Drosophila melanogaster: one gene and its partners. The protein of the gene in region 1 purifies or fractionates together with the protein of each later gene. This does not show direct contact. Each region holds a gene or a part of one and is shown in the gene's direction. Other genes may lie near its edges. The genes, in order: lin, sob, drm and odd.

Region 1 (9,066 bases):
GCGCCTAGGGTGAAAGGTGAAACCTTCTTCACCACAATCGAGTTTGTGGGCCGGTTGCCGACGAACACCTTGTGGGGCAACAAGTTATCCAGCTCGTTGCCGCACAGGCCAGCCTTGGACAGCTCGGTCCTGGCCTCGTCGACCGTCTTTCCGGCCATTAAAGCCTCCGTCTGGGCAAGGAAATTCGATAGCAGAATCTTGTGGTGCTTGCCGCCGGCAATGGGATTGTGTGTCTGGGCGGGAGCGATGAAATCGCAGGGGATCAGGCGGGTGCCCTGGTGGATGAGCTGGTAGAAGGCGTGCTGGCCATTGGTGCCAGGCTCGCCCCACACGATCGGACCAGTGCTGTACTTGACGGGTTTGCCCGACTTGCTGACGAACTTGCCGTTGCTCTCCATATCGCCCTGCTGGAAGTAGGCGGCGAACCGGTGCAAGTACTGATCGTAGGGAAGGAGGGCATGTGTTTCCGCCTTGAAGAAGTTGGAGTACCAAACGCCTAGCAACGCCAGGATAACAGGAGCCTAGGAAAGCCAATAAAATGGTTAACTATAATCATTTTACTTAACTCTCAGTTGAGTCTTACATTCTTCTCGAATGGTGTCGTCTTGAAATGGTTGTCCATGAAGTGAGCTCCATCCAGCAGTTGCTCAAAGTTCTCAAAGCCAATGGACAGACAGATTGACAGTCCAATGGCCGACCACAGGGAGTAGCGACCGCCCACCCAATCCCAAAAACCGAACATGTTGGTGCTGTCAATGCCGAATTCGGTGACCTTTTCCTTGTTGGTCGACAGGGCCACAAAATGCTTGGCCACGGACTCAGGCTAAAACAAAACAAAAATAGTTTGCAAATATAGGCCAGACTAAAATGTTGTGATGTAACTATTTGCTTTGGCTGCGTTATCTATTTTACATTTAAGGCAAGTGGAATTTCATATTGGAAACATTTAATTCGAATTTGAAATCCGATTTAGCCTTTGATTAAGTCCATAGGCTGCATTTGATAAGCACATTAAATTGATTTGATAGCTTGAACACGTCAAAATGGTTCTTATAGAATGATAAGAAAAATCACTAGGGTCCATTGATGGTTCATTGTATTAGTTTGGTTATCTTTGCTTAAAGCGCTATCAATGAAGGTCATTTAATGTTCGACCTTTCGCTGTACTTACCTCCTTGGAATGCTCCAGGAGCCAGGTCTTGGCGGAGGTGGCGTTCGTAATGGTCTCCTGGGTGGTGAAAGTTTTTGAGGCGACAATGAAGAGGGTGGTCTCGTAGTTGACCTTCTTGAGGACCTCGGCCAGATGAGTGCCATCGATGTTCGACACAAAGTGGGAGTGAAGGCCCTTGCCGTAGGGCTTCAGCGCTTCGGTGACCATCAGCGGGCCCAGATCGGAGCCACCGATGCCGATGTTGACCACGTCGGTGATCTGTTTGCCGGTGCAGCCGCGCCACACGCCGGAGATGACCATGTTGGTGAACTCCTTCATGTGGGCCAGTTCGGCGCGCACATCGGGCATCACGTCCTTGTCGTCCACCAGGACGGGATCCGTGCCGCGGTTGCGCAGGGCCGTGTGGAGGACGGCGCGGTTCTCCGTGATGTTAATGTGCTGGCCGGAGAACATGGCGTCCCGCGCGGCGTTAACGCGGCGCACCTTGGCCAGGGTGAGGAGCAGATCCCAGACCTCGTCATTGATACGGTTCTTCGAGTAGTCCAGCAGTATCTCGCCATCGTTCTGGGTGTGCAGGCGCAGGCTGATAAACAAACGAAAAACATTTGACCTCAGAGCAAGTACGATTCGGAGGTCGTTGCTGTGACCTTACGCAAGGACAAATCGAGTGGCGGCGACACTCGACAGCCGATGGTGAAAGTGAAAGTGGGCAAAGCGCAACTCGATGAATAAACGATTGCCGATGGGGGATACACGAATGAGTGTATGTATGCGGGAACTAGATACGTAACTTCCACCCTCTGAGGCGAAATCGACACAAAAACCCACCTGTATTTTGAGAATCTCTTGGAATCCTTCACGAACAGGTCCTTGATGTTCAGGTCCTTGCCCTTGGAGTCGTAGTACTCCTGCAGCTTCTGGAACGCTGCCTCCTGGTTGAGCGGAGGAAGTGGGCCGGCCATCTTACTTCAGTTATCCCAAGCAGGAACAGCAGGCGGATGCGGAGTAGAAGGGCAAGGGAGGACTATTTAGCACTCGATGCAAATTAGTAGCACACGGAGAAGAGAGCACAGGCGAACTGCTTCGACCGCTCGCGACACTTCACTTATAATAGCGGATCCGGCTGCTTAGGCGTCGGGTAGTTCCTATTATCTGGCTCCGGCAAATCTCCAGAGCACCGCACCACAACTTCGCCGTGTTTGCTTTTGATAGGTACTGACTGAGCGGCTGCCGATTTTCCAACGTCCTTTCTGGAATTCGCGAGCACCTTTCAATGTCAAATGAAAAACAAGCGAGTGTTGCCACGTCGGCCGCGCTCTTGTTTTAATGTGCCGATCGGTTTGCAGTGTGTGCGAATTTACTGTGTGTGGCCGCGTGGAGATGAACTGAGAACTTCCTACTCCTAGATCGTCTGCACCGGTAGGCAAAAGGACATAAACTGAAATTTTCAAAACGACTTAACCGCCGCTAACGGCATAATTTTATCTCGATGTGGCAGCACGCTCGGTGTTCAGGGCTGTCAGGTGTCAATGACTATCGAATAGCATTTCTATTATTTAATGTCAAAAATGTAAAAATAAAAACATTCTTAAAATTACTTTAAAGTTACCCGTTAAATTAGCACATATAAATTGAAAAATATTTGTTATCTGTAATTAGCTTCTCACAAAATATTTTTTGTTAAGTTCTCTGCAATCTTATAATTCTCAAGCACTTAATTATTATCACGCATTAGAAAATTAAAACTACCGGAGTCATTGTTATTAGAATTACTTTAGCAAACATTGTTGCTAAAGTTATAAGCGTGCAATAATTATTTTTAAAAAATAATACATTTCGGAAAGTAAAATATATGTGAATTGAGTTGTGACGACAGAGCTATGGTTGCGAGCCTGGCTATGTATATAGCTAACGCCAAATACCAAGATCCGTTTGGCAACGCTGCGCAAGTAGGGTTACCAGGTAGCTGAAACTCGCTAAAAGATGGCGACGCGCACTTAATTTTTGTTTTTTCCCACATAATAAAGTGTAATAAAACCAAAATAAAAGCAGTGCCAGAGAAACAATCGGAGGCGCTTAAAAAGTGAGAAACAGCACACGACCCAATCGACTGGCCCGGGCACGAAGCGAAACGCGAGTGCAGTGAAACTCACATAAACATTGACATGTCGCTGGCCCGAAGAGTGCAACAAGTGTGTGAAAATCGAATTGTGGCCGTTTAAAATGTTTGGAGGAGCAGTCAGAGCACCTGGCGGCAGCTAGAGCGCCCTCGTCGCCCCCAAGAAATCATAGTGTGTCTCAGGAAGCCGAGAGAATCGCCCCACGAAGCCAGGCAGCAGCGTCTGCACACGTAACCTTGTGTGCGCGTAGCACGGAAGCTGTTTGTCGGAATCGGGTTTGTAGGTATGTGGCTGCGAGCCGCCGCTTAGATTCGCTGCTCACCGGGCATTTCGCTTGCAGACCATTTGCAGGACGTCGGGTACGTCAGCGCGGAGGATGGACACCTCATCCGCAGCAGGATCTGGAGCCGGAACGGGCGATGTGTGCCCATGCTCCACGGTAGCAACCTCCACGACCTCCGCATCAAACGAACAGCCGCAGACCAAGCGCCAGAAGATCGAGCAGCAAATCAAGGTGGGCTCCAAGGCGCTGCCACCCCAGCCGCCCCATCCGCCGGATATACTGGACCTGGACGCCAACAGCAACAGCCACCTGTGCTCCTCGCTCTCCTCGTCCTCTTCGCACTCGCTGTCAACGCCAAGCACCGCCAACAACTCCCCCACCACCACGCCCTGTAGTTCCCGGGCGGCGTCGTACGCCCAGCTGCTGCACAACATCTTGCCACAAAACGGGGACACAGACCTGCACAGCCAGCCTGAATCCGCCCATGACGAAGTGGACAGGGCGGCCAAATTGCCCAACCTGCTAACCCTCGACACGACCAACGGCAATGGCAGTCATGCTAGCAGCAGGAGCAATTGCTTGCAAGCAACAACAGCCACGTCCATCGACGATATGCTGGAGTTCGAGCAGTCCCTGACCCGCCAGTGCCTGTGCGGCGTCTCGGAGCGAACGCTGCGCAAGCCCTTCCAGTCGCATTACTCACAGGACACCAACGGCCAGAAACGGATAGCCTACCTGCGGGAGTGGCCCACCAACAAGCTGCTGCAGTTTCTGTCGAATCTGCAGCTACTGTTCGATATCTACCTGAAGCAGAACGCAAAGGGCTTCATCTGCACGCGGATAATGGACGTTTGCGACGCACTCATTCGCAATGACCACAAGCTTATCGACGAGATTATCGTGCTGGCCGGCTACGAGAACTCTTACGTGCAATTTCTGGCGGGACGTGTGCTAGCCGCATTCCTGGTGATTGCCAAGCAAGAGCTGAATGACGAGTGGCTGCAGAAGATCGTCGACCAGCTATTTAACTTCGAGCAGCTTGACCAGGCGGCCGTGCAGAAGATCCACTTCAGCCTGGACATCATCAAGCGCATAGTGGAGTGGAAGGATATGGAGATCCATCCGCTGGACGACGACTGGATGGCGTCGGCGAATAGTACAAGTGCAGCCTCGTCAGTAGTGCCCCTTTCGACAGAGGCGTCCGTGAGCTACATGCATTTTCCCGTGCAGGAGCAGCCGCTAGCCACCAATTATTTTGCACTGCAATTTCGCGAGGATACGGAAGGTGAACGAGAGACGGGGCAGGAAGCACCTGACAACCGCGACCGACATCGGCGGCACTTTGGCGAGGATATGAACGTCGCCTACGAGCCGCACCCCGCTCCCCAGTCCACGACCATGCCCAGCGGTTGCCATGTGGTCACACTAACCGACTCGGAAAGCTTCGATACGACGCACCTGAAGTGCATCACCATTCAAAAGCTGGAGCACAAGTGGCCCACGCTGGTGAAGAACATGTCGGAGTTGATGGCGCCGACGCATCAGGATGCGGCCGAGCACTGTGTGCTCAACTTCTTGCAGCTATGGGAAAACATCATCTCGGTGAAGGCCAATCTGTCCATCGACGAGACGCGACCCTACTACGCCCAGCTGGACAAGTTTGAGCTGCTGCTCAGCCACAGCCTCTCCTGCACCGTGTACAAGCAGATGCTGTGCCTCTTCAACGAGGCATTGTGCTATGGTTCCACGCTGGCGCTGCAGGACATGCTGCCCGAGGAGACGTGCAAGCTGGCTCACCAGATAGTCTGCCATGTGCGCGGCTTCCGCATACTGGAGTCGTTGCCGCGGCGACAGCCGGACAACATGGTCAGTCTGATCGGCTACAATGGCAAGCCGATGGTGTACGCCAATGGAACAATTACCCTGGCACATGCCGCGCAATCAGGGGACAGCGAAGAGGACGGTGCGCCACTGGACCTTATCGAAATGGATAAGACACTGTTGCAGAAGATGGTGCTGTTGGTGCTGAAGTCGATAGCGGTGACGGTGAAGGAGATACGCAGCGATTCCTCCGACTCATCCATCGATTCCACCGACTACGATGCCTTCCAGGACATGATGCTCATTGAGCGCTCGATCCGCGATGTACTCAGCAAGCTGGAGACGTTCATAAAGCAGACGCTGGAATTCCATCCGGAGTGCCACTTCAGCAAGATCCTGATCCACCTGTTCGACGACCAGGACGACCACTTGATCGAGGCCATGGTCTGCACGCTGGACGTCACGTCTGGGATATCGTTCCGCAACAACGCCTTCCCCGAGCTGGTGGCCATGCTGAATCCGGTGTACACATTCCTGGAGTTCCTCAAGATGACATCGAACAGCTCGGACCTGCTGCTGGACCTGCTGGTGAGCAACGAGACCTGCTTCCTGCTCTACCTGCTGCGCCTGCTCAAGTACATCCGCATGAACTGGACGATGTTCGTGCACAGCTGTCACACCTTCGGCATGGGCAGCGCCATGCTAGACGAGGCGATGGGCGTTCTTATCCGGCTGCGCCTGCAGATATCCCGCCTCGTGTCGCGCCAGCTCTACCCCTACGACATTTCCCCCGTGCTGCGCCTGCTCGAGAGCTGCGAGAGCCTGTACGAGGGCAACGAGCTGAGCTGAATGCGGCGCAGGGACGAACTTCAACCACATGCAATTAAAATACGTAATTTATTTTAATATTTAATGGAATAGGAGAAACTAGCGCAAAATTCGATGAAGATGGAGGCCTTGTAGAATACGTGTATTAGCCGTAGGGACCAACCACTCCGACCATAACTCCGCACCCCGATCCAGTAGCGCGTCAACCGTAGTTAAGATCTTGCACCCTCTTCATCCGCTTCGCCCAGCAGGTCTTTCAACCCAGATACATACCCAGCTGTATGTAATTGTCATTGTAATTGTAATGAGCATCACAAGTTCGTAGTTAGTTCGTAGATAATGGTTATATCATAGGTACTGAATTCCAAACTAAACACTACGCTAGCCTAAGATTTTTTTAATCTTGCCCTAAGTAGAATAATGTACAATAGGATGGCAAAATGCTGCGGCAAACGGCTGCCCGCCGAAGTGGGCGTAAATTCGGTGTCTTCGAGAAGAATATTCTTTGTACGTTTTTTTAAAACACTTGAATAATATAACATAATTAACTGATTAAAAGAAACGCATTAAGAAGGACTACAACGTGTGCGGTTTCTGTTTCCGAATGGTGTGTTAAAATACTGTAGTCTCTTTGCAATTTCGTTGGGCTGTGTCCTGATCTCATCTGGACTTCTGGACTTCAATGGCGATTTATCATGCGGACGCGCCGCTTTGGATCAGCGGCTCCACTTGGCATACCACTGACTTCTGGTGGTGGCCCAGTGAGGCTTATCACCGAGCCGCGCCTGGCCATTTCCGGAGGATGTGGACTCGATACGTGCACCGTTTGATAGTTAATGCTGATCGGAACCGAGGAGCGACGGTTAAGACGAGGCTCTAGAGAAGAAAGTAGTTGGTCTTATGGGACGTGTCACTTTGTTGTGGGGACTCTTTACCGAAACGGGCTTCTCCGGATCCCGGCTTATGCGGATGCTGCTGACTGGGTCGGCTGGCCAAAGGAGATACCACCCTGTAGTGATACTCCTGAACCAGCGGAACGGACCTGGTGAAGCCTCCCTCATCGTTTAGCGTGTACTTGAAGCGATCCACAGATACGGAACGCTCCTCGCTGATTATATGCTTGCGCCGGAAGATGGGGGACTCATCCACTTTTGGCATGCATTGGGGAAATGTAGAGCGGTCAGTTTGGGATTCGGGGTGAGAGAGGATCGCAGAGGATTGCGTAAAAGCCCAATCGAACGGAGGAAATGAAACGCAAGCTAACACGGCTACGTATGTAAATTGATCACAGGAAAGCACATAGTAATTGATTTATTTTAGGATTACGTACACTTAGGACAGTAATATACATTCGAGTATGTACAACCTTATATTCGGATTCAGTACAGTTTCACAGATAGGTGAAGAGGAGGTAAACAGTGGAGGTCGTTCAAAAACACAGATATCAAACGCATAATCGAGCCCGAAAAGTGCGATGTACAGATGTATAGATGTATAGAGATTGAGGACAGACGAGAGATACACAATACACAACAATACATTTTCCGAAAAAGTCAGAAAACTGGTGCTTTAGAGTAGAGAAGATTGGCTAGTTCAGTACATAGTGGTAGATACATTTAGATTTATAGGATAACAATTCACTTGATCCCTCGTTAACACGGTGTAATAGGCTAGGCACCTGGCCCCCAGCGAGCTAAAACTTTGGCAAAGATTTTGGTGAAATACCTTTTGATGACCGGCGATCCTGCTTGTGGATCTGGGCATAAGATTGCAGCGAGCACCGGCGCAGTCGCTTGTCCCCTTTGTTCTGCTGCCGAAGAAGGATTATTCACGTGGCAATAGGGAATGGAATGCGGGTTATCCTTACCGACTTGTAGTGCTGGTTGATGTCCGAGGCGGCCTTCAGAAGCAGATAGACAAACACAAGGGCGAACAGGTAAATAATGGGCTCCGCTGTGTTACTCTTCTTGCCAACTTCCTTCTTCTTGTGCCCCTCCGGGGACTTTATCAAACGACGAGGTTGCTTGCTGACCCCATTTCCAGTGCCGTTTTTGGTTCTCTTCGTGGGCCTGCCTTGGGATCTTCTTGAAACTGCCTGATTCCGATTGGATTCCTTTCCGAAAACGTCCAACCTCTGGCACGATGCATCTGGAGCGGCGACATCCAATTCGGCGTCGGCCATGGCTTCCGGCTGGGCATGGTGCAGGTCGAAGGCAGCCACGCCCGGCTTAAAATAGTGCCTGTAGTTGCGCTGCATCCCGGCTACCATGAGATACACAGTGCAGAGCACCACGAGGATCCCCAGCGGCACCACATGATGGTTATTTGTATCCGTGTCCCTACTCACGGCACTTGCTTTTCGGTGTTTGGGAGAACAAGGCGGTGGCCCAATCTCTTCGGACAGAGCAAATTTATCGCCGGCCAGAGATTTCATAGCCGAGTGCTTACTGTTTACCAAGCAATTACCGTGTGTATCTGTTGACTGCGAGTCCTGGCTGCCGCTCGTGGTGGAAAATCGATAGGGATTGCCCACACAGCTTCACATGTTGGGTTGAACGAGGGTGTCCAGTGCAATTGAAAGGTCAATCGACCGAGGGAGATGCGCTGACAAGTGTGCTATGTGTCTATATATTTATTGGAACCTATTGCTCTACTTTTACAACAGTCTAAACTGTTTCCGATGCGATACTCTTCGCCACCCGAGGAACATACATGTTTGTGTGTATGCCTGACCTGACCTATGACATTCAGGTGGCGACGTACGTTAAGTTTGAATTGCAAAATCTCTTAAATGGTATGAACTTAAACACTAAACTAAATAAAAAGTTATGTACAAATGGTTG
Region 2 (7,962 bases), on another chromosome or scaffold:
CCAGCCCTTCATATTTAGCCGTCGTTTGCGATCGGAAAGATGACAGAGTCGGTGGAAAAATCAAAATCAAATTAAAAGACAGCAATCAATAATTTGACACGACTTGGGGCGATCGACAAAGGCCCGAAGACCACGAGGATCTTTACACGTGCAAAAATAAAATGGGGTAACTGGAATTTGAAATAGTTTTGAATATGATTAGGGAGAAAGCTGGAAAGCAGAAGAAGCAGAGATATGTGAAAATGGATGCCTACCAGCTGAGGAAGGATTTTAGATATGTATTAGATACATAGGCTCTCTTTAATTTTTGCAAGTGCATCCGGGATCGTTTGTCGGTGTCCCGTTGTTTCAGCTGGGTCTTGAAGTGAACCTGGCTGTGATCTTGCAGCTCCGTGTAGATTTGTACGACTTTTGCGACATTTTGTATGGGGCGATGGATCGATCCGTACCGATCTGCTCCTCCCTCCCCCATTTTTGCACTGTTCCGGATCCCGTCCCGCTCCCATGTCGCCTGCTATGTACAACATCAAGTTTTATCGCTGATCGTGATCATGTAATTCCAGCCCACGCATGCGCACTCGGCGCTCGCTTCGAAGGAATCAAGTTTAGCGCATTCTTATTCGACTGAGACGCAGATGGAGCTGAAGATGGAGTTGGAGTTGGAGATGGAGACTTCCACTTCGGCTCCGATGCGACTTCGACTGGAACTGGGACCTTGTGACAGATGGTTGTGAGGCTTCAAGGCATTCCCTCGGATCGCCCCACCCAGCTCGGCCCAGGAAAGGAGCCGAAAGGAAGGGCAAGGATAGGGCAGCCAGGAGCAGGAGGGACTGGTTTCTCCTTTACCCTTGCACTTAAAAAAACATCTATGTATATGGGAAATTGTTCTTGAAACCTATCTGTTCATAACTGGGGAGTTCTCTTCTAAAAGGATTCAGTTAACTAATCTTTCGACACCATTGGGTTAATTATTTCTTAAGCTATTGATACAATTTTTTATTGAGTTTGAAAATCATTAAATACTTTTTTCACAGTGCAGCTAGCTTAAGCCTGTGCGATCTTTATGTAAACTGGTACTTGAAATTTGAAATCATGTACCATTTGCCTTGAGACTGACAACGATACTTGGGATGGGTCTGGACACTGGGGATTGGGGACCTGCCAGTCGAAGTGGAAGTGGAGCCGGGCAATCGATGATCGTGTCCCTGAAGAGGAGAACCTCCGATTGAGGCGGCACAGGAAACGAGCATTTAAAAGCGCGACTATCGAAATATAACGACATTAAGCCGAGGCTTTCATTTAAAGGAAGCTTGTGTCAATACCACTGAGCTTGCCTTGGAATGCGCAATCCCGATTGCAGATCTTTTGATGGCGCCGCCATTCAGGATGATCCAGGGATCCAGCAATCTCCAGCAAGAGATCATCCTCGCGACGATCATCATCATCCGTAAGCCGGCCACTAAGCGACATAATTGCTACCGTGGGACTGAGGATCTCTGGTCTCCAGACTCCAGACTCCCGGATCATTAAATGCCGCGATCCTAATGCGCTCCAATCAAACACACACGAAACGAGCGTATGACATGTTTGTGCATTATTAATCACGATAATATCTGTATAAATGGTAGAAAACTGAGAGTCCGGTCCAAATTGCAATTTAATGCAAAAATAAATTGCACTCGGTGCTGGACTGGCTCTTTCCAGCAGTTTTTTCCTGCTTATTTCGTGGCCAACCAACCGGCAGCCGGAGAGCTGGCAGCTCCCATGATTATTGGTCATTTACTTGGGCCGTTTAGCGCATTAAGTCCGAGTTCCCCCACTGGACACTCGCGTCTGGGGGCTTTGCATAAAGAATAAGGAAATAATTGACAGTTGAAAAGTCTCAGCTATGATTGCGGCTGTGATTCGAATTGTGATTGGGTTTGCTGTGCCAGCGTATTTTTGATTCTTCTGGCAGCATTCTTCTCTCGCTCTTTCGTCTGCGATTCTGCGGCGATGAGATGGCGTGCGATGAGAATCATTTCAATCAACTGGCTGCGCTTGGGGCTGAAGAAATCAACGCGTTGACTAATGGCCACAATTTGCAAGTGCTAGCAGGTTGATGCACTCGGAAAAATCTCCACTATTGCAAATGGATTTTAAGTGTAATAATTTCCAGGAAACCATCTCAAGGTGTTTCAATCTGACCGCCAATCCAAAGCCTTTTAAGATCGTTAATATTTAATAGATTAGACCATTGTTCCATATTCCTTACTAGGAACTCCACGGTTTCCTTAGATGTCTAGAAAACATCTGGCTTGTAATTCCTTATCAGGCGATCGCAATCCTTTTATGGCCGCCGATCACATTTGATTTTAGTGAATTAAGGGATGTTCGCTTAAAGTTTTCTTCCCTCTATACAATGTTTTCTTGATATAGTAATAAATTATTCGTATGAATAACTTGTAAAAATAGCTATAATATGAGATTTCTTCTTATTGGCAAGTTCATAATGTAAGCTGCATCTGTTACTTGTGCCTAAATCTATATTTAAAACCTTTAATTATCCGTCAAAATTCTTCAGTTTCCAAGGTTAAAAGTACTTAGCAAAGCTTGCGAAATTTCCTAGAAAGAATCATAAACAACTACTTGCAAAAATTATATAAATAAACGAATATTATCAGACAAGAGGGAGCTGGCACGATGGGCGAGAAAGAGATGGCACGACCAGGAGGGAAAGAGAGGGTGGGCAAAACACCCACTCAAAATCAAAATCAAAATCAGGCATATTAACCACAGAAACCGGTTCTCTCTTTCTCACCTTGCACGCGCTCTCGCTCTACCTCTGATTTAAATGCGCGTGTGTGGGTGAGAGCGGGAGTAAAGGTGCTCAGAATACACAGACAAAACGAGTTTGCACCTGGCCAACCTGAATTTCTCCCGCTCTCCGCTCGCTCTTTTCGTGGGTGATCTTGTGGGCCACGCTCTCATCCGCTCTCGCAGGGAGCGATCGCCAATGGCGAGAGAGATGTGGCGATCAACAAGTGAGCGCAGGTCCGCGATATGTCCGCAGAGCAATGGACTTTTAGTTATTCCGTGATCTTTTACCAATATTGTGTGCAGCGACGGCTGATCGACGTCAAGAGAAGAAGAAGAACTGGCAGAATCAGAGAAAATAAACAATATTATATATACGTACATATATATATACATAGCTCAACACGTGTATGTGTCTGTGTTGGCTAAGACCGGAAGTTGCATTAAACGGAAGTTAACTAATAGTAACTGCACATAATTTTAAAGATCGATTGTACCCAAATTGTTCGCGTGTGCTAGCCAGAAGAACTACCATATTATTTCAGTCGAAAAAATCGAAAAAGCGTGCCTGCCAATTTGACTTAACTTGGCTGAGACTGCACTTTGTTGTTTTCGTTTTTGGCCAGACGTCAAATTCGATTTTTATGACTTTTGAAAGCGTGACTAAGACGTGATTTATGATGGCGTGTGGTTTTTAATATTCATGTGGACGCGCTCCGAACCTCTCAACCTGCGTAGGTGCGCCAAACAATAAAAAATACAAAAAATCACCACGGCAACCAGCAACACAGCAACATCGCTGGCCCGAGGCTTTATCCCGATATCCAGCTGAGTGTGTGCGTGGATTCGACTTTTTTATGGAGGCAGTTAAGCATTTGAGTGCCGCTGCTGCTGCTGCAGCTGCAGCTGCAACTTGCAGCGATTCGCCGGCCAAGGCAGCAGCCTCACCGGCAGCAAGCAGCGATATTGCCGAGGCGCTTGGAGAACTCAAGGCAAGCGCAACAGCAGCAGCATCATCAGCTAGCAAGGCAGCAACATCGAAGCACCACAGCAACAACAACCACAAGCCAAGTGCCGCAGCAACAGCCACAGCAGCGCACAAGAAAAGCGAGAGTTGCAACAGCAACGGCAACAAGTGCACCGCTGCAACATCGCCGATCGGCAGTAAGACCAGCAACGCAGCCATGGCAGCTGCAACAGCAACGGCGGCCGCAGCAACCAACGATCTTGCAGCGGCTGCTGCGGTCGTTCTTTCGCTGCAAGGAACCATGGTCAGCAGTTTGCAGCAGGCCGCCCTACTGCCGGCCAATTCGGCGGCAGCAGCAGCTCTTAATCTCCAGGCCCTGGAATCCTATTTGGCGCTGCAGCGACTAACCGGGAAATCGGATGTATTTCGCTTTTCCAACAGCAACACCGGCAGCAGCAACAGCAACAACGCCACCACCTGCAACAGCAGCAGCAGTGAAGCGGACAACAATGCCTTACCCTCGCTCATCGATATAGCCAATATAGAGCTCAAGTCGAGCTGCTCCTCCAGCTCCTCGGGGGAACCCCCTTTGACGGCAGCGACAGCATCAGCTGCCGCCACATCCTCGCCCAGCAGCAACAACAGCAACTCCACCAGCACACCAACAACATCCAAGTGCGTGCCTCTGCCCTCCATTGGCACCGTTAGTGCTGCAGTGGCGGCTGCTGCGGCTGCCGCAGCAGCTGCTGCGAGCCAACAGGCGGCGCTGGACTGCGCAACAGCCGCAGAACTGGCAGCAGAGTGCGACTTACCGTTGCTCGATGGCGAGGATGCTCTCTCCTTCGAGGCGGGAGATTTGGACAGCAGCTATGGAAGCTTCATGTTTAATCCCTCAGCCTTCAGCCAGGCGGAAACGGACTCGGCTCTGCACTCGCTGCAGGCCACCATGTACCAGGACAAGATGAGTGTCATTTCGGGAGCGGCTGGCGGCGTAGGTGCAGGTGCGGTAGGAGGGCTGGAGGAGGCGGGCAGCTCGGCGGCGGCAGCGGCAGCCCAGCGGTCCAAGAAGCAGTTCATATGCAAATTCTGCAACCGACAGTTCACCAAGTCCTACAATCTGCTCATCCACGAAAGAACGCACACGGACGAGAGGCCTTACTCCTGCGACATCTGCGGCAAGGCCTTCAGGAGGCAGGATCATCTGAGGGATCATAGGTAGGTCAAAAATAGCGGATAAGCTACTTCATGGTATAATAAGAAATGATCCTTCTCTTGAGAATCACTCTGTCACAAAAGACTAGCATTTGGTTTCCATAAAAATCTAACCCACCATTCTCCTCATTCATTTTGGTAACCCGCAGATATATCCACTCCAAGGAGAAGCCCTTCAAGTGCGCGGAGTGCGGCAAGGGATTCTGTCAGTCCCGCACTCTGGCTGTCCACAAGATCCTGCACATGGAGGAGTCGCCGCACAAGTGCCCCGTGTGCAATCGCTCCTTCAACCAGCGTTCCAATCTGAAGACCCACCTGCTCACCCACACCGACATCAAGCCGTACAACTGCGCCTCCTGCGGGAAAGTCTTCCGGCGGAACTGCGACTTGCGACGTCACAGCCTGACGCATAACTTGTCCGCCGGAGTGGGCGGTGTGGTGGGTGGCAACCTAAGTGATCCATTTGGCTCCGGCTCCAGCTCCAGCTCGGAGTTGGGCTTGCCCACGGGCTCCGCCAGTACTGCAGCATCCTCCAGAGATTTGGTGGCCGTCAGCGATTGATCTTCCTCAGCTGATTCCTCACTCTTTGATACCCACTCAATAAAATAAAATCTCAATTGCAGCTCTCATGAATACGAATCCCTCCATTTCGTAATCGTAATCTTAGTACGACTAAACAGCATTTAGTTTAGTGTAAGTTTAGCCTTAGCTACTTTGGTTTAAGCCTTGGATATTTGTGACGTAAGCATAGCAGGAAAGTTTGACTTTGCGTAAATTAACGTTAGATATTAAGTTAAATTGTGGACTCTTAATGTACGATCGAATAAAAGACAATAGCTTAAAGGAAATTGTGCACATGGCTTTTTATTGTTGACTTGGGCTTATGGTTATAGAAAGGTTTTCTTGAGACTAAAAAGAACGTTAGTTGTATTATAATTTGAATATTCTAGAATTTTACCACGGGTATGGAGTTTGAGTTGTTTGAGTTTCCAAAGGCCTGTTGTTCATTTCAAAATTCAAGAATTTTCCAAAACGTTTTTCTCACCCTTTCTACCTTTCTACCGCTTTGATTCCACTCTTGTACTTACACTATTTACGCACTTGTAGCGAACTAAAATCAAATATTTGTACCGATGTTTATCGCTCGAGTGCCAACAAGGGCAATTAATGTAGCATTAAGGTGCACACCTTCAAACACCTCTTTCAACAAGCCTTTGACAACAAACAAAACAAGATCGACAATAGTGGGGCTAAAACAAAGAAATGCCCATATTTTCCCACCACTTCCAGGCTGTTCCACATTTCCAGTCAAATAATGTCGTACAAGCCGGTGGACAAGTGGAGCAGGCGCTATCTCATCGGGTCGAAAGGACCACCCACTAGAGTGTGATATATAGATATCGGGGCACCCCATTTCCCACACAAGAACATCCAGATAATTCCGGGCGTGTCCGCTGAAAGAGCTCGAAAGAGATTTTATAGCGAAAAGTGGGCTGTCCATTCCAGAACGAGGGTGGAGCTCCAGCTCCAGACTGCCACAAAGTTTACAATTTTTATTATCGACTACAAAAAGATGCGGCCATAACGACACAAACACATACAGTGCAGTTCAAAAGCGAATGCCGACCGCGTTTCCTTCCACGGCCATCTCACCCCTTTAGCTTACTTTTATTTTCTTTCCTTAACTCTGACTCTGACTTCCCGAAAAGATCGGCGCGTTTGTCAATCGTTAAACGGATCAATGTAAAGCCGCCTGCAATGTTGTCTTTATGGGGCCTCCACTGTTGCTGTTGCATTTCCTGTGCTTCAGCTGCACCAAACCCAAACCAAACCAATTACAACGATCAAACAACAATTATGGATGAGTCCGAGCTCTGCGTCCCAGTTTGGGTCCCATTCTTGACCAGATCCCGCGGCTCTGTGCCGGCTTGTTTGCCGTGGCCAGCCGGCTGCTCAGCCCCACCTCCACTCAGCCTCCTCCTCGGGTGGTTAAACATTTTAAACACGACCTGCTTGCTGCTCTCTGCAAATATTTGCGCGGATATTGTTCTATTCAATGGAACAAGCGTGCAAGCGACACTGAGAAAAATAATGACAAAATATTTGAAGCAATTATATTTTAAAAACAAGCATCCAAAATATCGTACTGGTATTATTCATATATTGCGGCAGTTTTCAATGAAACTATCGTCTGTTTCTGGTTGTGTCTGCACTACCTTTTTGTACGAGCTTAGTGTCAACTATTTCTCTGAGTGCACTGGCATCTCCCATTAGTCCAGGCTCTAAACAGCCTCCAAAGACTGAGAAACGCCGAGAATGGAGCGTCTCTGCGAATTGCCAGCAATTTCACACTTTATGCGCGACGGCTTCATTTCCACAGAGTGCCTACCCTCACCACGACCCCCTTGGGAGTACCCTAGAGCCCCAGGCTATGTCGTAGTATCCAGCTCATCCTCCGGCCAAGAGTGGAGCATTCTTTCCGAGCGGCGCGTGCGGGAAGAGCGGATGTTTGAACGCTTTCGAAGTTTACGAACGCTCCAACGTCGCTCCAACCGGCTGTTGGACCGTATTGATGGGAAAATTATGAAATTCATTGTTTGTGTTTGACTAATAATTATGACAGCAAACGCATTGTCGTCATAAACGCGAGGGGACAACCCCGAAACGAGGTGGTGGAGTGATGCGGAAGGGGCGGGAGCGCACTAAATTCGCTTTGAGGTTTCCGCACCGCCCCAGACAAAAAAAAAAAAAGAGAAATGAAAGAGGAAACAACTCTGACTAACTCTAATAAGCCCATCAACGGCAAACGACAACGCGGCAACATTCCACCTTCGATCTGCAACACTTACAGTAAAAACGACAACGCCAAAGCAACATTACACGTAAGAAAATTCGGTAGAAGTATAAATAAGACAACACGAATAAATATAACTTTAAAACAGAAGTTCTAAAGAAATTTCAAAAGTTTCTGAGTATTTTCTAGATCG
Region 3 (7,537 bases), on another chromosome or scaffold:
GCGGCTGCCTCACAAAAAAGAGAGCTCCTCGTGCGATTGTGCGACTGTTTTTTATAGCTGAACAATAGGATCGACTCATGGAGTTCTGCAGAAATACTACCGAACCACTGCGAACCGCACCCAATTATAATAAAAAAAAAAAAAAAAACAATGCGTATCTGCGACTATGGGCGAGTGGAAAAACCGCGCCTGCTCCCACAGAAGTGACAACAAAATTAAAATTTACGAAATAAAAATTAAAATTAAATAAAACACCGCTCGGCAAACAGCCAAAAATGAACAATGGACGCGATCTGAAACCGAAAACCGAACGACACGAGAATTAGCATACAAACTGAAGATCGAAGCTGCATATCAAATGAGGATCCGATCAAGTTTTGTTTGGGGCCACCACTTCATTCAGCTGCGGATTCATTGATAGATCGTTCGACGTTCGGTTTCCGCCCCCCGACTAACTGTTAAAATAGACACATCACCCAGCGACTTTACGAGCCAGCGGACCATAATTCAGATTTATGTGAAAACACACCAGTCTGGGCCAAAAAAATAAATCAAGTCACGACTTTGGTGGGGAGCGGATACACTCGAAGAAAATCGTTACAAAGTGCACTTCATTTCCTTTCGCCACGAGGAAAGCCTAGTTGCCCTTAAAAGAAAAAAGTTCTTGTCAAACTACACTTAGTTATTGTTCATATTAACATAAAATCTTGTAAGCTATATTGCCTTTCCCTCAGTGAGATGATACACCCAGTTTCTTAGCACTCGCACACCTTGGAAGAGAACCAGAGTCTTGGAGCTAAATGACAGCCCAGCCAACTACCGTGTGCCAAATGAAGAAATGAAGAGCTTAAGATGGAGGCAAGTCGGGGCCTCGTCATCACCGGAATCATCAGCACCAGCGACATCATCAGCATCATCAGCTTCATCGGCATCATCGTCGCCAACTGTTGACAACGCCTTGCTGCGGTGGCTGCGGTCCAGTTTCATTATTATTAACCAAAAAGTATAAAAACTGAATCCGAAAAAACCCCGACGGATCCCATTCAACGCCCACGTCTTCGACATTTGCCTGCTTCCACAGATTCATCCGTGTATCTTCGCGTATATATTTATTATAATTTTTTGCATCTGCCTTTTCTTAGCTGTAGTCTTTGTTGCCTCCTCCGAAATTTATGTGACCGCATCGCTGCCGTATGAATTTTTAATTTTTCACCAATCTTCATTTTTTTTACTGTTCGATTTTGTTTGCCTTTTTAATATTGGCAATTAATGAAATTTAATACTTTTGTGTGCACTGTCTGGCGCACAAGTTTTGGGTCGTTGGAATTTATGCTGGCCCTAACTTTATTTGTTGTTAGATTGAGAAAGTTGCGAGGTATTTGTCAAAAATTTAGGGGCTTTTTAAGTGACAGATTATTTGAAGATGATAGATGAGTAAAGGATGCGGAAAATCCAAAAAAAAATGACTACATATGGATGTGAAGGTCAAATTATTGTTTGTTTATGATAATAAATACAATAATCTTTGTGAACCAAACAACCTTTCAACATCGAGTGAAATATTGCATCACATTCCTCGCCTCTGAAAACAAAGTCTTCAAAATTGCCAAGTAAGCCAAGTCATTTTTCAGACTCTTCTTTGGAGGGTTCATAATTAGTTTCTCCTTCAAAAGGAAGCTCCTCACAATTGTCGATACGTCTCCTTTTCGAGTTTGCTGATTGGCCATTTAAAATATGCAAATTTGATCCGAAAAACAATAAGACAGATGGACACAGATGGAGTGAAACAAAAGCGAGGCGGACAGAGATGAAGCCATCAAAGTGGAGTTGCCAACGGATTGCACTTAAAAATGCCCAAAAGCAGTCGAAAATAATTTGTTAAGCTTTATGGACAGGCGAAAACTTAATTAAAAACAATCCTTTTCTGGCGCACCTAATTAAAAACACTGGGTGTTAAGTTAATGAAGTTTCTTGCTGAATGAACGACACAGTTTTTCAGATTTCATTGAGAAATCGTAAAAGATAAACAGATATGGTGAGGCACAAAAGATAAACAGACCATCAATATGGTGTTTTTGTAGTATTATTTTTTCGGGTCTAAAGAGGCCACACAAGCAGAAGAGCGACAACAAAGGCGGAGGCGGCAAAGCCAAAGGAAATGCGAGAAAAAAGTTTCTCAGGCCCTGAAAACAAAATGGAGCTCCACAAAAAAAGAAGATAAATACACTAAAAATTGAGCACTGCGTAATACGGTTGCTCTGCTCTGCCACTGGTTTTTATATTTGGCCTCTCGCTCGCTCGCAAAACGGGTTAAGAAGCAGTTAAAAAGGGGGTGAGCGAGCGAGACGGCGCGAAAGAGTGGGACAGACAGAGCGCCGCCCAAAGCCACGCCCACATCTATAAAAATATACACAGGTATAAGTGAAAGAAAGTTACCTTTTTAGCCAAACAGCAGCTAGAAAGACAGAGAAGAAGTCCGAGGAAATCCAAAGAAATCGCAAGCTTATTACAGCCCGCATTATCCAGCACACCTTTCACTCATTAGTCGCCTAAACTTAATTGAAATGTTGGCTTACTTAAGCTTAATTAACAGTCAACTCAGGTAACGCCTTCGAAACCACTCAACTCAGGTAGCCTTCTCTCGCTCGCTCACTCTCCAGTTTTCTCAGTTCGCTCTTTAGCTCATTTTCCTCCGACCAATCAGCTGAAACACTCAAAACTCGTTCTCCGCGACCCAAACAGTGCGTGGGAAAGGGACAGCCAACCGAGAGAGGGCTGTAAAAAAGAGGGTAACCAAAAAAAGGAAAACAGAAAAAGTTCAACCCATCAAGCTGAAGTTTTCGATCGTAACTTTGCAGTTGACTCTCGCGCACAGAAGCGTTCGGAAGTGAAATATATTTTATTAATAATATTACCCAACACAGTGCTACCAAACAGAAATTGCATACAATTTGTGTCTTGCCAAATAGCAAACGGAATTTCGTGCTTTCGCAATAGGTAAGTGACGCCATTTTGTGACTTTTACGCTTGGCTTCCGTTAGAAGAGACGCCATTTTGTGGCTTCCGTTTGCCAGCTTCTGTACTTACGCATAAGAACTTAGGGCGAGCGAAAGGGATGGCTAGCGAGCGCTGCGCATGAGCAGTAGCTTCGGCTACCGGTCTTCGTTTTGCTTCGTTTCTCTTCGGATGACTCACACACACTTACACACACTCACACAGTGCCACCGAATTGAGTAACAGACAGGGACAGAGCGATGATCTCGCTTCCTCAACTTGCCAGCAGCGACGCCGGCAGCGACGCCGACAGAGGACGGCGGCAGAGGCGACTACTATTTCTTTCAGTTATTAGTAGCATTCATTCATTCAACTTTGTGCCGCTCGAGCGTGCGTATATAGTTCCCTCTCATCAGTAACAGTATCAGTAACAACATCAGTAACATTTCCTTCGCGAGTACCTTCAAAAGAGATACAAATCGATCTATCCATTCAGCGGACATACGAAAATCGCACAAAACTCAGCTATAGAAATCGGTTAGCCTCTACTCGAGTCCGAAGAACGCGTAACTCCAGTGCATCCCATTGGGTAAGTCTTTCTTCAGCTCCTCTCTTCAATGGCGTTCTTCGTGTTCTTCTGTTCGTCGTTCTTCCCCCTTCCACACTTGTTTCGCTACCAGTTTTACGCCGCTTTCATTGGACAACTGAAAACTGAGCAAAGAAAAGAAGAAGTAAACCCCACACGTAACACGGGTGCGTGTATCGGCCTCTCTTTCTGCCCGGGCCTCTCACTTCGGCTCTTTAGTGTGCCAGAGGGAGAGGGGCGATGCGTCTAATATGGCATGCGTGTGGCCAACGGAGCTTTTCGGCCTCTGTGTGCGTGAGAAAGTGTCGCCATTTGCCAAAATGGCGGACGCCAAGTCCGAATATTTCCCTATTGGACTGTAAAAAGTTTTTACCCGCACTTCTTGACACGAATTCCCCAAAATGGGTGATCTACTTGAAATACAACCGAGTTTATTGATCTCTCATTGTATAGTACAAATGTGTTATTAATTTCCGAAATGAATGAAGAAGAAATAATTTGTATCTCATAAAAAAATGCTCATTAATTTTCGAAAAGAAAACTATTTAATATTATTTTCTATTAAAGTTGGTCTAAAAAAACATTTGAGCTCTCTTCAGAACAAATATAAGTTTTTATTGTATCCTAAACTTTCAACCTGTTCTATTTTTAAAGGTTTCAGTCGTTTTCCATTGAAATTGTCTAGGAATTGAAAACTCTTAAAGCCGTCGGCATTTTTTCAGATTGAAAGAATAGAAGCTGAGAAGTTTAATGAGTCAGCATTAAGAACAAAAAGCCTAGTTTGTCGAAGGTTGATCGCGGACGCACAAAACACGGCAAATCATCGCCAAGAATGTTTGGCATATCATCATCAGCCGTTTTGGTACAAGTTATTTGCCTATGAGTCATGGAGTTGTGCTTTTTTCATTGGATTATGAAATACCAATGAGTACGGCTCAAGCTAACAACAGATGTTCAAAAAGTTGCGTCAAAGTCAGGTACTTTGAAATACCTGAGATTTGGCACTTGTGCGAAAATTCCAATGAATCTGGTGCGAAATCGCAGAAATCAGAACCCATATTCTAGGGGAACTTTCTGGAAGTAGGACTAACATTTACAATATAGGGAAATTCGTTTAACATAGTTATACTGAAGTAAAGTTGTTGTAAGAGTTTCGTGACCTCTGAAATTCTTACTGCTTTCCCGCGACCATTTCTTTCCCGTCTGTCTGATCTTTGACCTCGTCTGGACCTCCCGCTGCGCTCCATCAATTAGAGTCTAATTAGCTAAGCGATTACGGTAAATGGGCTCAGCTGGCAGCTAATCTGCGCCGACTTTTGAGCAACTGTCATATCTTACGGGCTGAAGGTGAGAAGCGTCCGAAATCGACTTGCTTCGGCCACGAAATTCCCATCCGATTTGCGATGGATCTAGGGAAGATCGCTCATACCTTGCCGCATTGTATCTTTGTATCTTGTGGTGTGTTTGTGTTTGGGGTTACGAAGGTATTCCTTTGTTCGCACTGAAGTGGCAGTGCCACACATCCTAATTGTTTCCACCGACTTATTGGTTCTGTTGTCAGGCCAGGATCTCGTGTGTGTGGGTGTTTTTCCCGGGAATTCTGCGCCATTAGCACAATTAGATTCGTATCAAATGGACTTCGGTGCCTTTGTCTTCAGAGCCTTATGTCCTTTTATTGTCATTTTTTCTCGCTTCGGTTTCTTCTTTTCACTTTTCGGTTGTAATTTTTAATGGCACCTTGCCAACTCACTGTCCGCCTCCTACAAAAAATAAAGGGATGACCACGGTGCGAGGTGAAAGAAGTGTGGTAATCGCTTTCGACCATATCCCACGTCCTGCGACGTGTGTGTCACTGCTTTGAGCCCTTTTTTTGGACCCAGTTTTGAGCCTGTTATCGCCCATACCGCTACACATTTATCTCGGGGTGTTAAACTGTAACTCTCGAGGCGGCTCGAGTTTCGTGGAAGCCCCCGACGCACTTACTTCTCTTACCAGAGATCTGGCCATATATAATCTCACTCTCTGTTTGCAGTTTGCCATTTTATTTCTCTTTCCCATCGCTGCAAATCTAATTTCACGCAGCATTAACGCCTTTCGCATGCCCTTCACACGGAAACCCAAAGTCCAGAGTCAGGATCATGCTGTGCTGAAGATCTCCCAGAGATCTCCAGATTTTCAGATCTTCACATCTCAACCTTCCTGTCCGAAACTATGTGTGTGTGCACAACACTAATAATTTTCAGTGCGGATTAATGGGATTATCTTTGAGTTGGACAACAGTTTATTATACAATATTTGGGCAGTTTTCCCTCCGTCTCTGTGGGTGTTCGTTTTTCGCATAAGCGGATTGTAATGTCCAGTTGCAAAATACTAACAGTTGGAGACCGTTTAAAGTCCCGGATCGGAGAAGGTGCCAAGTTAAGCCCGTTTGGATTTGCCATGACTTTGCACAGGTTTTTAGATGGATTCGGATGATTGTTTTGCTTGGATTTTCAACGGATTAAAAGGATATACCAACTTGATCAAAAGATTAGGATTATAACTGTAGGAAGATGCTTTACCTTTCAGTTTTGCTGAGTTAATATAATGAGATTGACTTTACCAATATGGATAGACCATGTGCCATTGGACACCTTTATTATTGGAATGCCCCAGGCCAGCTAACTTAACCTTCCAAATTGATGGGCTCACTCAATTGTCAGCTCGAATTTCACTGTTCTCGAAGGTCTCCCCCGCCCATTTTGCCCCATCCCCAGACTGAAGACAATTCCATCGTCATTCGACGCATCCAGCAAATGGCCAAATAGAGTGCTTAACCCCGGAGAGCAACCCGTGGCTAATGGTGCTCCACTTAGGCCCACGCTCCCAGAGACAAACTTAATACAAGTCCACGTCCAAATGCGAGTCCGAGTCCAAATCCAAAGCAAAGCATGGCCAAATGCGAGACCGATCGAGGCGGAGAGACCCGGACCCAAAGAATCCATATCGAATGGATGGCCTTATGCAGGCGCCCTGTGTCGCATGATTAACGGCGTTAAAATGCCAATGTGACGCCACATTGTGTACACAAATTAACATTGGAGGAGTCTCTTTTGGCCAGGCCTTTGAGCCGATCTTAGCCGAGTCCCAGTCTCCCACCAGACATGACCAATGCGATCAGCGACCCAGGCCCGAACCCGTGCACCTCACCCACTGGGCGAAAGCGGGGTATCAAAGTGTTTGAAAGTTGCTTTCATTATTATTTACTTGCTTTCATTATTATCTTTAAAATAACATCTTAAAAATATAGATCATATGACCTTCCAGCATTGTTCCACGCGGTTACTTTTTACTTTTTAGTACGAGAAGACGTTTTTTTTCTGAGTGCAGGACTTGAGCGCGGCTCAGTGTTATAATTTGAATATGTTTAGTGGGCATTAATGTTATAATGACAATAACTACGTACCGTCTGCGGCCGGTGCAGCACCCGCTGTGACGTTTGCCTTTTGTTGTCAACGTTAGCTCCCCGACCGCCGATCACCAAAGCGAACCCGTTTCCACATCCATTCCCATTCCCATTCCGATGCCCAATCCCAATCCCATTCCGAATCCGAATCTCGATTCCCATTGCCAGTCCCGGTCGCAGTCGCAGTCCCAAAAGTGTTCCAGCTGCGAGCTGAAAGCACCATAACATATAAATAAATATCGAAATCGGGTCTTGCCGAGACGCTTGTCGCTACCAGTCAGCGCTGGCTTTTGTTTCGCGCAGAAAAATTCCCGAATACGCCGGGCGAAACAAAAAGGCCAGTAAATCTGGGAAATATATATCCCGAAAAGAAAAGGCCTGGGAGAGAAGTCAGAGATCCAGCGGCGCCGAAATGACAAAAATAAAATTACATAAAAAATAACAGTTGTTAACTACCGCGCGGGCGGGAGGGCAGCACGGAATACGCATCGATGGGCATAAATTTCGATCGG
Region 4 (7,427 bases), on another chromosome or scaffold:
ATTATTTTTTATGGCCATCGTTCCTGCTTTCCGCATCCCTACGATTTGGTTTCCGTTTCCGAGTGTCGGAGGATCTCTCTACTATAAATCTCGCGTTTTCCACATGCAAATAGTGGGACATGTGTTTCCCCCGGGAGAGGGCTAATCCTTTTGGCCATGTGTTGACAGGCGCAACAACAATAGTAACAATATTAGTAACGACAACAAATGGATATAGCAGGAAGTCAGCCAGTGCGATGCCATATATCATGTGCTGGGAAATATTCGGCCTGTGTCTTTCATGTGTCTCCACTCCGCTGGTGTTTATCTATTTATTTATTTATTTGCCTTTGTACACTTATGACATGATGTTAATTACCGCTCGCGACTCCACAGGCCGAAAGGCAGGGAACCGAAAGGGTGGGCGGAGTCCGGGCCGTCACTTTGAAATGGAAAAGTTCGCCGACTGTTTGCCAACCGTCAACAGCGGCGACAATTGCCAAACGCCGAGGCTAAAGCTAACCGACACTGGCAAACCGACGGTACATCCGATCCGATGTTGGAACGGATCGAAAATCAAAAATCGACAATCCGAGAGTTCCAGACACACGCACTCTGGGAAAAAACGTCCTGCAGCAGGACCTTTGCCTATTGATTCAGGCTGTTTGATCATTGGCTCGCCGCCGCTTGGGAAAGTTTGTACTAAATGTTGTGTACATATTGCTTAATTTAATCACCCAAAGTCAATCCTGCCAAGGACCGCTTGTGACGGAGTGTGTCGCAATGGGCTTAGTCTCAGGATCCTCGGATCCTAAGTCCGTATACGGGTAAAACCAGTCAATGGGAATGTTTCTTGTTTTGCCAAGTTAAAGGATTAGTCGCAGATCCATTGCGGAAATGCTTCACCTGGAAAGTCGACAAGTCAAAGTCATGGGAATGTACGGAATTCGGAAGCAGGATAATAGGATATGCATTATCCATGTTTTGTCGGACTTGGGAAATATCTTATAGTTGGCGGAAAATCCAACCGAAGAATAGGATTTAATTCGGAAGCATAAATATGGCATGTGCAATTTAAAACTATTCATTAATGAGGAAAATTCGTATTTTCTTGAATGCTATGAAATATTTGTCTTTTTAAATGAGATATGAAAAATATTAATTATATAGAAGCCCGAATAATAATAATAAAAATTGTAAAGATATTTAACTACAATATCCTATAAATAACAACTACATTAATTTGATGCTTCAATAAATTTTGATTGGAAACATTCAACCCGCAGAACTTATATCTTTTAACCTTTTCCTATGACTTTACCTATTTCTAGTTTCCAAGCAATTTCCTTCAAAATATGTTAAGAAAACTGCCCATAAAGTGCACCTGCTTGTCTCGATTCAATTACAAATTATTAAATAATTATCCAAGTGAGTAGCATGAAGCATTTCGAATGAGGAACTCATTAAAGATGATTTGACAAGCTCGAGTCGCACTTCAGTTGAAAACGGTGAAAGTTCAACTATTACTTAACAACTACTTAAACAACTGAATTACAATAAATACAATACTGAGTAAAATAATTAAAAAAACTCGAAAATAAATGGTGTGTGAAAGGCATACCCAAAACTAACCAGTAATTGTGTACAATCCTTTTAATAAAGTCTTTCAATTACATTACCATTACCTCAAACTCGTCGTTAATTTGCTGTAAAATATGTCCGGCTTATCCTGCCGGAAACCCTTTTAAAAGCCAATCAATTTTCGCTACAAACGGCCGTTTCCACCCACTCGAAACTTTTATCGCCATCGCTTTGAAGCGGCTAATTGAATTCCAGATTAAAGTGTAAAGCAAAATGGGGGGGAATAAAAAAAACTGATTTGTATTGCAAATTAAAATTTAAGTGAAAACGAATCAGGCGCAAACACAAACAGGGACAATAGATTACAATATCCTGCGGCGCAGACAGCACGACATTAAAAAGGCACGAGGAGCAGCGAGAGCTGGCGCGGAATGGGTATGGACATGGCAATGGAGGTGGAAGGGACGCGCCAGGACGACACAGGACCTTCGTGCAGCTGCTGCTCCTGCTGATGGCACATGCGCCTGGGAGGGCTGCGTTTCGGGATTGGGACTGGGATGCGGGCTGGACTCCAGCGATGGCTGCCTGCCATCAGCGGCAGAAGCAGCAGCAGCAGCAGCAGCTACAGCAGCAGCAGCAGCAGCAGCAGCAACGGCAACGGCAGCAGCAGCAACTACGGCAGCAACATCGGCAGCAGCAGCAACACCAACAATATCCCAGGCTTGCGACCGTCAGGCCAACGGTTTCCGCTTGCTTACTGCTGGAACGGAAAAAGCCAAGGCACATATATCCATGCACATCCACAGGCACATTCGGTCGGAGCCACATCCATGGGATAGTAGATACCGAACGCTGAGGGCCAATCCGAGAGCAGCAGGTAGGCGTGGACGTATCTACCATTTCCAAACAACTTCAACCCCGCCACAGGCAGCTGCCGTTGGTCGGGCCGCTCGCCACCCTCGTCGCCCTCCTCCGCACTTCTCGGCCGGTTCAAAAACGGGTCGCCCTGCCAGCAGTTGCAGTCAGTTATTAACGAGCGCTACTCCCAACAGCAACATCGCTCAGCGGCAGCAGCAGCAGCAGCAAAAGCAAAAGCAAAAGCAACACTAACAACAGCAACACGAGTCACTCAAACGTGGAAGCGAGACAGGAATATCAGCACTCCACTCGCCTCGTTTCACTTCGATTCTCAAGCGTTTGAGTCGGAGAGCGGCGAACGGCCAACGAATTCAGTTTGTGTCGAGACGTTGTCGGTGGCACGTCGCATCCAAAAGAACGCTCAGTCAGCTGGGAAATATACTGAGAAAAGATACATTCGTAGATACAAGTGCTAAGCCAAAGTGAACCGTGCAGTTCGCGCAACTAAACAATTTTAAGCCAAATAAAACTACACAAGGCCAACAAAGACAGTATAATGTCTTCCACATCGGCCTCACCCATCAGCAACATAACCGTGGATGACGAGCTCAACTTAAGCAGAGAACAAGGTGGGTTCAAGTTCAAAACTGGCTCAGAACAACTTGGCAAATGCCGACGGCAAAGCGCATTACTCTCTAGCACTTTTTGACTAGTTTCAAAAAATGTTCCATTAATATTTGAAAGTAGTCTCACATAGCATTGCATTTATATGAATTGAAAACTAACCGTGGGCATTTCTATTCCTTCCTTTTTAGACTTTGCTGAAGAGGATTTCATAGTGATCAAGGAGGAGCGCGAGACAAGTCTCTCCCCCATGCTGACGCCCCCGCACACGCCCACCGAGGAGCCGCTGAGGAGAGTGCATCCGGCGATAAGCGAGGAGGCGGTGGCCACCCAGCTGCACATGCGACACATGGCCCACTACCAGCAGCAGCAACAACAGCAGCAACAGCAGCAGCAGCACCGCCTGTGGCTGCAGATGCAGCAGCAGCAGCAACAACATCAGGCTCCACAGCAGTATCCAGTTTATCCCACAGCCAGCGCCGATCCCGTGGCCGTGCACCAGCAGTTGATGAACCACTGGATCCGCAACGCAGCCATCTACCAGCAGCAACAGCAGCAGCAGCAACATCCGCACCATCATCACCACCACGGCCATCCGCACCACCCTCACCCACATCCGCATCATGTGCGTCCCTATCCCGCTGGCCTCCATAGTCTGCATGCCGCGGTCATGGGTCGCCACTTCGGAGCCATGCCCACCCTGAAACTGGGTGGTGCCGGTGGAGCGAGTGGTGTACCCAGCGGCGCAACTGGCAGCAGTCGGCCAAAGAAGCAGTTCATCTGCAAGTACTGCAACCGGCAGTTCACCAAGTCGTACAATCTGCTCATCCATGAGAGAACCCACACGGACGAGAGGCCTTACTCCTGCGACATCTGCGGCAAAGCCTTCCGGCGACAGGATCATCTGCGGGACCACCGGTACATCCACTCCAAGGACAAGCCCTTCAAGTGCAGCGATTGCGGCAAGGGTTTCTGCCAGTCGCGCACCCTGGCCGTGCACAAGGTCACCCATCTGGAGGAGGGTCCGCACAAGTGTCCCATCTGCCAGCGGAGCTTCAACCAGCGGGCCAACCTCAAGAGTCACCTCCAGAGCCACAGCGAGCAGAGCACCAAGGAGGTGGTGGTGACCACCTCACCAGCCACTTCACATTCGGTGCCAAACCAGGCATTGAGTTCGCCTCAACCTGAGAATTTGGCACAGCATCTGCCTGTCCTGGATCTATCCTCGTCATCCTCGAGCTCAGAGAAGCCCAAGCGGATGCTGGGCTTCACCATCGATGAGATCATGAGCAGATAGATTGAAGGACCAGCGAAACCCGGTATCCGGTTTCTTTTGAGACATTCTAAAAGAGATTCAGAGAGCTGGACGTCCGCCAGGCATGGGAAATGCCTGGAATGGAAAACCAAGCGAGTCCAGCCCGCATTCTGGCCAAAGGTGCAAGTGGAAAATCCTCGCCAGCAACTCGTAATCGCAACCCAGTGAGCAGAAGAGTCATCCTCCGTGCAATCGGTTCTATGTAGCAGATCCCAATTGCGTTAAACAAATGCCAAAGTCAAATAGCAGAGGAAAACTGATGAAAAATCCAATGAAAAGTATTGCTAGCACAAGCCTCCTACAAATCGATTCCAAAACACACACACACACACACAACTGTAAACTATAAACTTTAATAAATAGCACATAATTTATATTGTAATCTAACTATTATTGTATGTACCTTATAGTCGTAGTAGCCCATTCAGTTCGTAGTGCTTATGGAGTAAACCAAATGTTATGTTACAATAGCTCAATCAAACAAACCTCAAACCCGCTTTGGTTATTGAAAGACTGTTTTAATTATTATATTTAAATAGTACTTGAATAAATCAATCGATCGATTGTGTAATGTTAAACCCCGACGAGTGTCATGATTACTTACTGTTTAGACTTAACAACTTAATTGTCGCTATAGCAATTGTGACTATGCACAACGATCTCATTGTCGTCTATATGTATGTCTGAAACATTCGTATTGATATGAAGTTATCACAAAAATACGTAAATATAAACGCAAAGTAATTTTCAACTGAAATTTAATAAGACTTTTTATGAATACGGTGGATTTTGTGTTTCCAGGTATTTGGCAATGGCAATTTCGCCTTGATTTATCATTACTTCTACTGGCAACTTGATAATCTTTATGGTGTACTAAGTTAAAGTTATCTGAAAAGATTTAAGCAGCAATTTTTTGATTACCTTCTACCACCTACTGACTGATTCAAGTTCCAAGCGGACTGAATGATTTTGATCTACTTTTAATCACTTTGAAATCTTTCTTATCCGCTGACTAAATCCCACGCCATTCCGATTTGGGAATTTTCTCATGCTGCGAATATAACTCAGTAGACTGAACTCGTAGGACCATATAAGTTGAACCATCAAACAGCAGCTGTCAAAATTTATTAACCATCCGAATATAACTCAGTTTTTATGCAGATCTCGATTTGCGCATTTTTAAGCAGCTCTATTATTTTTCAGGTTGCCGATTAAGTAAGCAGAAGTCTCGCCACCAAAAATATTCAAACTGTCGCAGAAGTTAATTTATGAAATCGAATCGAATTGAATTTGATGTCAGTTTTGCTATGATTTTGTCATGAATCGGTTTCGATTTCGGTAACACTATGGTTATTGTTTAACTTTGAGGTGTGGTCCAAATATTTATGGCCTGTGTTTCAGTTTTGGGTTTAGTTCAGTTTTCATTGTGGCTTCTCTTGAAAATCGGGAACGTGCCAAATGCCTTGCAAAAGGTATGTTTGATTTCCTTTAATGGTGGTTTTCTTTTCTAGTTTCTTCCATTGGCAATTGCATTTCTCTTAGCACGCTTCTTACTCAGAACTGTCAATTTCAGATTGTGATCTTTGTCTCAAAATCGAGCATAGGATTGTCTTTAATTGAGGCCTGAGGTCGTTCTGGTTACCCCCGGGGGGAACCCGCATGAGGGGTCTGCATCTGCCTCATTTGCTGCTCGATTTCCATTTCCATTAGCATTTCCATTTTCCATTTTCTCCACCTTGATGACATACTCTCGGGCCTTATGGCCATGTACAATTGATTTGGGCCCTCTCATTGTGTTGGCTTTGATTTGCTTTGTTTTCGTGCCAGAAAAGTGCCAACGTATTCGCCAATTGATGTCTACATAGATGCCTTTTTTTTTGCCCAGGATTACTTTTGACAAGTATCCTGGCCGCGCCCCCTTGGCCATGCATATCCTGCTGACTTTGGCCAAACCTTAACCTTAGTCTTATCTGGCCGAGTTGGTCGGGTGGTCAACCGTAGGACTTGTGTTCCGTGTTTTGCAACACTTCGCCGCAGGCAGTCTAAGGACCTCGAGGATCTTGGTGTCCTGGCATTTCGACACACCTTGTCCATAATTGCACTGCGTACAACCAAAATATTTTGTGAAAGTCACAGCGGGAGGGCGAGTTATCCCGACCAGATTGATATGTGTCCGCATGGGGTTGTGAGTCCCTTTTTTTTTGGGCCATTTTGAGCCACAATTAAACGCATCGGTTCCGCAACTAGGGTGGCATGCAGCTCCGTGTCCTGTGGATGTCCTGCCATTGTAAATTGTAGTGGCAGGACGTGCTGGAAAGTCGCCTGCCAAAAGTGAGCCATTTACTGCCACAGGGGCAGTCTCCTCCTATTTTCTGCTCCTACCGAGCATGCAATTTTAATGAGCTGCCCGGGGGAAAAGGAAGGATCGGCATAGGGGCACATCCCATTGTCCAGGACACGTTCGCACTTGGCCCTGTTCGCCTTTGGGCCGGGACCACCCTGAAAAGCCAGAATGATGATGTTGTAAGCCGGTTGGTCGACAGGTCGGCTGGACGACTGGTCAACTGGCCAACTGGTCAACTGCTGAGGTGTTCAATTAAAACGTTGCAAATCAATTTGCCATCGAATCGAATCGAGGACACGCTTAAAATGGCCGTTGACAGAAACACTCATAGATGATGATGACAGCATTACCGCAGTAACATAACTCGAAACCCATCTAAAACTATACAAGAGTTGTCAAGTGAGCCAAGCCCAAAAATATATATACAAACAAAACTTGTCTCTCGTAATTGTACATTGTCTAGATTGTCAGCTTTAAAAGTGGTTTTGATATGCCGACATCGCAACGCCTTTTGGCTCACAGCCACAGACATCGCATTGCCACTTCACCATTTCCATGCACTGCGATTTGAATGCTTTTAGGAGGATCTTAACGAAAGTTAAAATAGTATTTTATTACTACGATTGTGTACTTTTAACTATTAAGAATTTGATACTAGCTTTACGAAAGTGGAACCGTTAAGAAATGGATATCTAACATTTAACAACAAATGACAAATATGTTGGT

The links.
Region 2: the proteins of lin (region 1) and sob purify together in Drosophila melanogaster (affinity purification with western blotting, with the first as the bait; one study listed by BioGRID). This does not show direct contact.
Region 3: the proteins of lin (region 1) and drm purify together in Drosophila melanogaster (affinity purification with western blotting, with the first as the bait; one study listed by BioGRID). This does not show direct contact.
Region 4: the proteins of lin (region 1) and odd purify together in Drosophila melanogaster (affinity purification with western blotting, with the first as the bait; one study listed by BioGRID). This does not show direct contact.

What each region holds. Positions count from the first base shown.
Region 1 is NT_033778.4:8,911,434-8,920,499, forward strand, and holds lin (lines), read left to right. Parts: upstream 1-3,090; 5' UTR 3,091-3,574; intron 3,575-3,631; 5' UTR 3,632-3,667; coding exon 3,668-6,244; 3' UTR 6,245-6,801; downstream 6,802-9,066. Other genes in the region: Pgi (phosphoglucose isomerase), read right to left, coding at 1-521, 584-823, 1,172-1,754, 2,000-2,133; CG34219 (uncharacterized protein), read right to left, coding at 6,903-7,099, 7,159-7,381; CG8248 (uncharacterized protein), read right to left, coding at 7,917-8,033, 8,091-8,657. UniProt on the Drosophila melanogaster protein: Has a dual role as a segment polarity protein and as a modulator of the Abd-B protein. Required for Abd-B to activate the transcription of genes (including ems, cut and sal) that are involved in posterior spiracle morphogenesis.
Region 2 is NT_033779.5:3,575,871-3,583,832, reverse strand, and holds sob (sister of odd and bowl), read left to right. Parts: upstream 1-3,063; 5' UTR 3,064-3,653; coding exon 3,654-4,978; intron 4,979-5,124; coding exon 5,125-5,536; 3' UTR 5,537-5,820; downstream 5,821-7,962. Other genes in the region: CG43815 (uncharacterized protein), read right to left, coding at 7,405-7,569. UniProt on the Drosophila melanogaster protein: Pair-rule protein that determines both the size and polarity of even-numbered as well as odd-numbered parasegments during embryogenesis.
Region 3 is NT_033779.5:3,536,395-3,543,931, forward strand, and holds the start of drm (drumstick), read left to right. Parts: upstream 1-3,338; 5' UTR 3,339-3,583; intron 3,584-7,537. UniProt on the Drosophila melanogaster protein: Putative transcription factor. May function redundantly with odd and sob in leg joint formation during the larval stages, acting downstream of Notch activation.
Region 4 is NT_033779.5:3,601,906-3,609,332, reverse strand, and holds odd (odd skipped), read left to right. Parts: upstream 1-2,576; 5' UTR 2,577-2,974; coding exon 2,975-3,047; intron 3,048-3,233; coding exon 3,234-4,339; 3' UTR 4,340-5,109; downstream 5,110-7,427. UniProt on the Drosophila melanogaster protein: Pair-rule protein that determines both the size and polarity of even-numbered as well as odd-numbered parasegments during embryogenesis.